Bombyx mori: one gene and its partner. The protein of the gene in region 2 interacts with the protein of the main gene of each other region in a pairwise test. Links are inferred from orthologs where the notes say so. Each region holds a gene or a part of one and is shown on either strand. Other genes may lie near its edges.

Region 1 (3,826 bases), on a different chromosome or scaffold from region 2:
ACAAGTGGGCGAGCAAAGGCTCAGCCAGAAGGGGTGAGGTTTGCTAACAGCTACCCGAGCGCCTCCAAGGGAGACCTAACTACTCAAGAGAAGCTGCTTCGCGAATGAATCTATTAGCGGATCGGAATCGCGACCCGGTGAGAATATCCGGTGTGAAACTCAACGGACTGATGTTTAGGTTAGGTTGCAAGTTGAACTCTATGCAGAGTTCGGCATCCACTTTTTTTTTTTTTAATAAAAAATTATTTATTAACAATCACCCCACGTTAACTGGTCCCGTGCTAAGTTCGTAAAGAACTTGTGTTACAGGTACCAGATAACGGAAATAAATGAAAGATTTTTATTATACACATACATATTATATTTAATATACATCCATAACCCTGGAAAAAACGTTTTTATATTTATCATACAAATATCTTTCCTTGGTGGGATTCGAACCCGCGACCCCCTTGTATAGTGACCATTGTACACTACACCAGACTGCCGTTGTACAGCAGACGGTCGTTAAATTAAAGTTACCAGAAAGCAAACGTATAGAGATGTGAACCGACCGTCGATCTTGGAGAGGAGCTGATTGACGACGGTGTCGTGGACGCCGGTGTTGCCGCCGACGGAGCCCCTGGCCTTGCAGATCGCGTCGATTTCATCGAATATTATGATGTGAAGCCCGCTGTTCGCTCCGCACTGTAAACCGATGGCTTTATTAACGATCGATAGTTATAGTGTCGAATAGTGGCGAAGAATGCTCCGCATAAATAGCAATAAATAGCAATAAAAAAAATAAAAAAAAGCATGCCGTGGACCGCCAAGAGAACAAACAAATCTGTCCTCGAGCAACTTCGTATAGAAACGAGACTGTTCGTATAGAAATGAGACGATTTGCTACCAGAAGGTTCTTGGTTACTTTGGTCATATTGCTCGGCGGCCACCAGACAACCTTGAAAGCTTGATTGTGGTGGGCAAGCTAGAAGGGAAAAGACCTGCCGGCCGGCCACCATACCGTTGGTCGGATTAGATAACTGCGCTCACTGGACTCTCTGTTGCGAGCGCCCTGAGAGAAGCCGAAAACCGAAGCAAATGGAAGCTGAGGGTACAAAGAGCCACGAAGGGCTTTCAAGGACACGACCTTCAGCAATGAAGTATTCGACTAAGAAGAAGAAGTTATAGTGTATTTTAAATGCAAGAACAGCAGAAGCGGCTTAGCCCTGCCCCTGGCATTGCTGAAATTCCATAAGTCCATGGACGACGGTGACTACTCATATCAGGTGGGCCCTATGCCCGTCTGCCTACAAAAAATTATAAACCCATATTTTCTTCTCTATCATAATTCCTTCAAAAAGCTTTACTATAAAATTGAAAAATCATCTTTTTTTTCCTACCTAAGCTGATAGCCTTGGGAGGCTATTTCAGCGTAACCTTAACTAGTAGGTGAGCTCACGGGGCTCAAGCCGGAGTGATGCTAACACTGACCATAGCAAGAGCCGTTCTTCGCAGAGTCTACTACCGGATCGGAAACGCGACCCACTGAGATGATCCGTCGAGAAACTCAGTGGACTGTATCTATGGGTTAATTCGCTCGTCGAGCCCTTCGTCGCAAGCGACAGGTTCAGCGAGGACGGTGACCGGTGCTTGAGGTACCTAAAAGCACCGCTAATCCGTAATGACGTGTTTTGGGCGACGTCGACTGTTTACCATCGATTACCAGGATCAGGTATGAGAAATCATCACGTCCGCTTAGAACATATTCTAAGTAGTTTAATTTTCCGAAACTCACTCGCTTCTCTTCTTCCTCGGCGTCGGCAAATAAACGTCGAATGTTGGCCTCGCTCTCGCCAACGTATTTGTCCAATATCTGTGGGCCGTTGACGATCTTCGGTTCGCGGGCGTTTAGCATCTTCCCGATCTGTCGGGCCATCAAAGTCTTGCCGGTGCCGGGCGGACCGTAGAGCAAGATTCCCTTCACGTGCTTGCAGCCTAAATAAATTAATTAGGATTAGTTCTTTTTTTATTGCTTAGATGAATGGACGAGCTCACAGCCCACCTGGTGTTAAATGGTTACTGGAGCCCATAGACATCTACAACGTAAATGCGCCACCCACCTTGACATATAAGTTCTAAGGTCTCAGTATAGTTACAACGGCTGCCCCACCCTTCAAACCGAAACGCATTACTGCTTCACGGCAAAAATAGGCCGGGCGGTGGTACCTACCCGCGCGGACTCACAAGAGTAATTACGCAATTTATAATTTTGCGGGTTTGATTTTTATTACACGATGTTATTCCTTCACCGTGGAAGTCAATCGTGAGCATTTCGTTAAGTACGTATTTCATTACAAAAATTGGTACCCGCCAGCGGGATTCGAACACCGTTGCATCGCTAGATACGAATGCACCGGACGTCTTATCCTTTGGGCCACGACAACTTTATAAAATTACATTGTATTTGTGAACGCGTTGTGAATACTTTAAGATGAAAGGTGAATTCGATATTGAAGGGTGAGACAGAATTATGGTAGGAACAGCTTGGCTCTGCCCCTGACATTGAAGTCCATGGGCGACGACAACAACTCACCATCAGGTGGGTCATATGCTCGTCTGCCTACAAGGGCAATGAAAAAATAGAAACAGTACCTATTACAATGCAATCTTCTTGAGATACGTAAGAGAGTATGTACGCCGTGAGAATGTCTATATAGATTAGTAAAATTTTCGGCTTTTAAATAATCAATGAAGTGGATCATAAAAATTATACAAACTATATTAATTTAAAACAAATTGGTGGCTTTCAGTAAGTTATCATTACTAGAGCAGAGTATGCTCACAATATGCCTAATCAAAATGTTTCAATATAGATATAGATGTCAATGTACATATTTCAGTTTCAATGTCAATATTTTGTCTAGTATTATATCAACAAATATCAATACAAAAAAAAACTTCTTTGGCTATTTGAATAGGGTAAACGTAATTGAAGTTCAGTTAAACACATCGAATTGTTAATGCTAATACCAAACAAAACGCACATTTAATTACAAAGATAAATATCGCGTGTCAAGCGAAATGTCGCTTAAACCAAATAGCGTTACACCCCTCGACTTTTGAAGTCGTCGCGGCCTAACGGATAAGACGTCCGGTACATTCGTGTTGAAGCGATGCACCGGTGTTCGAATCCCGCAGGCGGGTACCAATTTTTCTAATGAAATACGTACTCAACAAATGTTCACGATTGACTTCCACGGTGAAGGAATAACATCGTGTAATAAAAATCAAACCCGCAAAATTATAATTTGCGTAATTACTGGTGGTAGGACCTCTTGTGAGTCCGCACGGGTAGGTACCACCACCCTGCCTATTTCCGCCGTGAAGCAGTAATGCGTTTCGGTTCGAAGGGTGGGGTAGCCGATGTAACTATACTGAGATTTTAGAACTTATATCTCGAGGTGGGTGGCGCATTTACGTCGTAGATGTCTATGGGCTCCAGTAACCACTTAACACCAGGTGGGCTGTGAGCTCGTCCATCCATCTAAGCAATAAAAAAAAAAAAAAACATATATACATATATTATGTACATGTTTACGGTAACATTCAGGCCTGACTTTTACTTAATAGATATCTAATTGATTATTAGAAGAGAGGTGATTGCTTTAGTGAATTAATCATCTACATCTTAAAGCCAGCTAGAAAAATAACATATTATGCTAAAACGTAGTCGATGTATGAGTTCCGGTCACCGTTCCCGTCGAACCCGTCGCTTGCGACGAAGGACTCCACGCGTAAAGTAACCCACAGACACAACCCACTGGGTTTCTCGCCGGATCTTCTC
Region 2 (4,457 bases):
TTTTACATCAGATCCGTTGATAATAAATATTAATAAATTGTGATAACAAAAAGATGACTAATTCCTTAGGTTTCTAATGAAGATTGAAGAGTGAGAATTGTATAATTATATTTGTTAAGGTTTTATTAAATAATTTAAATATTAATATCCATGGACAAACTTAGTGAAGAATGTTGTTAATTGACATTTCACAGATTCAATCCTGTATTAATACTAAAAGTTAATTAAGTATTATCAAAGTTATTGACATAGCACAGTGGATTACTAGCTGAAGTGGAAATGGGCTGGCCATGTTAGCCGGAGAGTAGAAAACCGTTGGGATAAGAGTGTTCTTAAATTGAGACCTTGAATTGGTAAATATAGTGCAGGACGTCCTCAGGCTCAGTGGAGTGACGATCTATGCAGGGTGGCTGGTATGAGCTGGATGGGAGAAGCAGAGGATCAAGCTCAGTGGCGTACAATTGGAGAGGTCCAGCAATGTACTATAGGCTTACGATGATGAATCGGGTATAAAAGTTGGAACAGCACGCAGATCAGAAGAAGAGTTAAAAAGAACAGGATAATTGTTCAATTCCCTTCCTAATAATGGTAATGAGGATATGGGCATAGGTTAAATACGGTATTTAAGTTATTAACAGAAAAATAATGTATAAGACCTTAGACCTTATCTTTGTCTTTATATCCGGTTGGACACCAATGATAGGGTAGCTTAGGTACTAAAGAAATATAGTTTCAAAACTGTACGTGAACTTGATCGATATTTTAGATCAACGATAAAACTGTGGTACTGACGTCGCTTCTAGACGTGTGTGTGAATTTTCAAATTATTTGGACGTCTTTAAGTCTGTTAAAATTACGTTAAAATATTCCATTCCATATATGCAGGACGAACTAATGATAGGGCGTTAGAAAAGAACTTACTTATTAAGACCTATTACGTCCTAATATCTACAGTTTGATTATTTTTTTGTTGAAAACAAGAATAGTTACCTTGTCCCAATCTCAAGACGGCTAGTATCGTGAATGTCAGAATTAAGTTCCCGATAGCCAATACGAATAAAAGACAAACGAGAGTCCAAAATGCGAAGGTTTTCCTCCCTCTGTGTACGGTTTCCGTGACATCGTTCCCGTTCCTGTCCGAATAATTTTTAATATTACTTTTGAGTAACGTATGCGTTGGAGTTTTTGTTATCAGAGCCTTTTCAGCTCGGTTTCTCTCTAACGTGCTCTCGGACATGGTCTCTGAGGACGAAGATACTCCGCGGAGGCCAACCGACATAACGCACTAATGTTTACGCACGTATTTCAATGGGAAACCATTAAATTAAAAATAGATTTTTTTAGAAGGATGCGACAACAAAATATTGAGCGAGAAGCATCGCCTTTTATTGGTTAAGCCTATTTCAGACTAAATCCAATTGACCAATAAGGAGTGAGTCAATTTGATGTTGCCATATAAAAAATTTAAGAAGATGTGATCAAACTAATTGAGAAATATTTCTGAACGATTGGAAAACAGTGATGACAACATGACGCAGTGAATTATTGACAAATTTGACAATCTGCACTGTAATCATGGCGTCGGAGAGATACAGTTTTTCTCTCACAACATTTAGGTAAAAAAACTATATATTTACATGTTTTAAAAGTCTAATTAGCAATGGAACATAAAGTTCTGTGATAATTTTCAATGATGACTTAAGTTGCTTAATGTCTTAGCGTCTAATCTACTCTGTTTGATTCACACTAAAGTTGCGGTATGATTTTTGGTTAATGTTATCTCAATTGTTGTGTTTTTGCAGCCCCTCGGGCAAATTAGTGCAAATCGAATATGCTTTAGCTGCCGTAGCCGCCGGTGGTACTTCCGTCGGCATCAAAGGTTAGTAAATAAAAATTAAAGGTTATTATAATTCTAAACTAGAACTATAACTTCCTTTGTACTAATTACTGTGTATCATCACATAAAAAAACCGCAAATGTATATTTTTTCCCAGGATGACTCAGTATTTTTAAGAGTAAAAAGGATGTTTTCATATTTGCAGCGTCAAATGGCGTCGTGATTGCCACAGAGAACAAACACAAGAGCATACTGTATGATGAACACAGTGTCAACAAAGTCGAGATGATAACTGGCCACATTGGTGAGTTGAGTCTCCTTTTTGTCCCTACTTATTTGCTGATAGCCTAGGAGGCCATTCCAGTTACGCCTAAACAGGTAGGTGAGCTAACGGGCTTAACGTAAGCGAATTTTCTAGCAGCGAAGCAGTAATGCGTTTCGGTTTGAAGGGTGGGGCAGCCCTTGTAACTATACTGGGCTCAGGTAACTACTTAACACCAGGTGGGCTCTGAGCTCATCCACCCATCTAAGATATAAAAAAAAAAACATCAGAAACATGTTAGTTAGTTTTAAATTTTAACATTAGTTACTTAATACTCCTATTCGTATAAGAGAACAAGTATTGTCTGCTTTTCTTACTCATCCTACATTGTGTGAACTTGACGCACATATCTTTTTTACCATTCAGGCTTATTATAAATTGTCATCTCGGCATTGATACCCATCTCATATCATCATTTACACAGTGCAGTACTATTTTCAGACTTCCACTTATATGGGATAAATTCTTCTTTCATCAACTGCTTTCCTATAAATGAACAATTATATTGGTTATAAAGAATTTATCTTGTATATATATGTCAAAGGAAGCAATGAATAGAGTTGATTCTTGTTTACATACAAAATGCATATATTATTATTTTTAGGTTGTAATTACTTTTATAATTCTTAATTTTATTTTATTTTGTTTGTTACATTTTCCTATAGCTTTAAAACCTTCTATAAAAATAAATTGTAATAAAAGGTGCCAAAATTGTAAATTCATGTAGGTAACAACCAATCAGAGCAGAGCATTTATCTTCCGCATGGTCAAGGTGCCATCTTTACTTTGGGAAGGCGTATATTGTCTGGTGACACATTTTGAGCAATAAAAACGTATCGAGTTGGATCGTTGGAGAGTTCAAGTGAGATTGGTGCAATTGCTGCTCGGTCTAAACTGTAATATTCTCCCACAATATTACCGTGGAATAACAAAATATTGTATAATCTAAATGAAACTAGTGATAAAACCAATCATAGTTATCATTTGTGTTTTATATCTGTCACTATCTGTCTCGGTCGCTCATGCAAACATGTCCGCTATCCATCTCTCTCATCATTTTGTCGTAAAATTAAGAACCTACCAAGAGCTTGTGTGAATAAAAAACATTTGAACTGAGTAAAATGGGTTAGTATCAGGTCACTCGGGGTTCTTATTTTTTTTAGTATGAAACTAACAAGTTTTGTACCATTTTACAATCCTGATTTAATGCGCGAACTTTTAATGGCACTTGCCAAGGCACTTTAGTACTTTTTTTTAAAGGAGGGCCTTTCAAAGTCGACAAATTTTGAAAATTTTAGATTCATAGTTTGACAAATAATCTTAATTCTAGAAAACTTGGGGTCAGTTGTGCTTTTATTTTTGACTGTGGTTCTAGAAATGTTATTTAGGGTTACGGTTCCAAAGTTTAAATGAACAAAAATAATAAAAATTAACCACAATAACCGAAAAATGGTTACAGTTTGACCAAATTTCTAGGTTTTCCTTAAATGGTCATAATTTCCAAACTGCATTGGATAGATTTTTTTTCTGATTTTTCTCATGATTGTTCCTGTCACCAGGTTTCGGCTTGACGTTGAGTTCTGGGACACCATGTTTATGGTTGTCAATACATATCCTAACCTTCTCGTCGAACCCGTCACTGAGTGACCTGACTTTCTCGCCGGATCTTCTCAGCGGGTCGTGTTTCAGACCCGGTGGTAGATTCTGCGAAGCGCTCCTTTTGTTAGGGTTAGTATTAGCAACGTCGTCAAGGTTTGAGCTTCGTGAGCTCACCTACTGGTTCGGTGAATCTAGAATAACTCCTCAAGGTTACTAGAGTATAGGAATGAAAAAAAAATCCTACTTAAGTTAGGATTTTTTTTTAAGCGGTAGGCAGCGGCTTGGCTCTGCCCCTGACATTGCTGAAGTCCATGGGCGACGGTAACCACTCACCATCAGGTGGGCAGTATGCCCGTCTACCTACAAAGGCAATAAAAAAAAAAAAACAATTTGTGACATGTCCGCTTGGTCAATATGAGGGAAAATGTCTATGGTATATATAAATATGAGCATAGCTTTAGCTTACTAGATACAAATTCGGGATACATTATTGGCTTGAATTAAGGAAACAGGTAACTAATTGACGTTGGTACAAGTAATCCTCTCCAGAAAAACCCTAACACACTAGCACTCAACAGTATAAAAAAATCATTAATATACCTTTTAAAGTAGAATAGTATCTTAATTTAAACTTTCCATATACCGAACAGAAACTTCATAGAGGTAATATTGTTGATCGCTACTGTACTATCATATTTT

The links.
Region 1: the proteins of proteasome 25 kDa subunit (region 2) and vesicle-fusing ATPase 1 interact in binary tests that used the Caenorhabditis elegans proteins (3 or more experiments, as listed by UniProt). The link is inferred for Bombyx mori from reciprocal best matches to the Caenorhabditis elegans genes pas-2 and nsf-1.

What each region holds. Positions count from the first base shown.
Region 1 is NC_085128.1:5,780,788-5,784,613, forward strand, and holds part of vesicle-fusing ATPase 1, read right to left. Parts: intron 1,978-3,826; coding exon 1,778-1,977; intron 688-1,777; coding exon 555-687; intron 1-554. UniProt on the Caenorhabditis elegans protein: Required for vesicle-mediated transport. Catalyzes the fusion of transport vesicles within the Golgi cisternae. Is also required for transport from the endoplasmic reticulum to the Golgi stack.
Region 2 is NC_085130.1:10,804,476-10,808,932, reverse strand, and holds the start of proteasome 25 kDa subunit, read left to right. Parts: upstream 1-1,562; 5' UTR 1,563-1,575; coding exon 1,576-1,616; intron 1,617-1,802; coding exon 1,803-1,879; intron 1,880-2,042; coding exon 2,043-2,141; intron 2,142-4,457. Other genes in the region: uncharacterized protein LOC101740923, read right to left, coding at 991-1,279. UniProt on the Caenorhabditis elegans protein: The proteasome is a multicatalytic proteinase complex which is characterized by its ability to cleave peptides with Arg, Phe, Tyr, Leu, and Glu adjacent to the leaving group at neutral or slightly basic pH.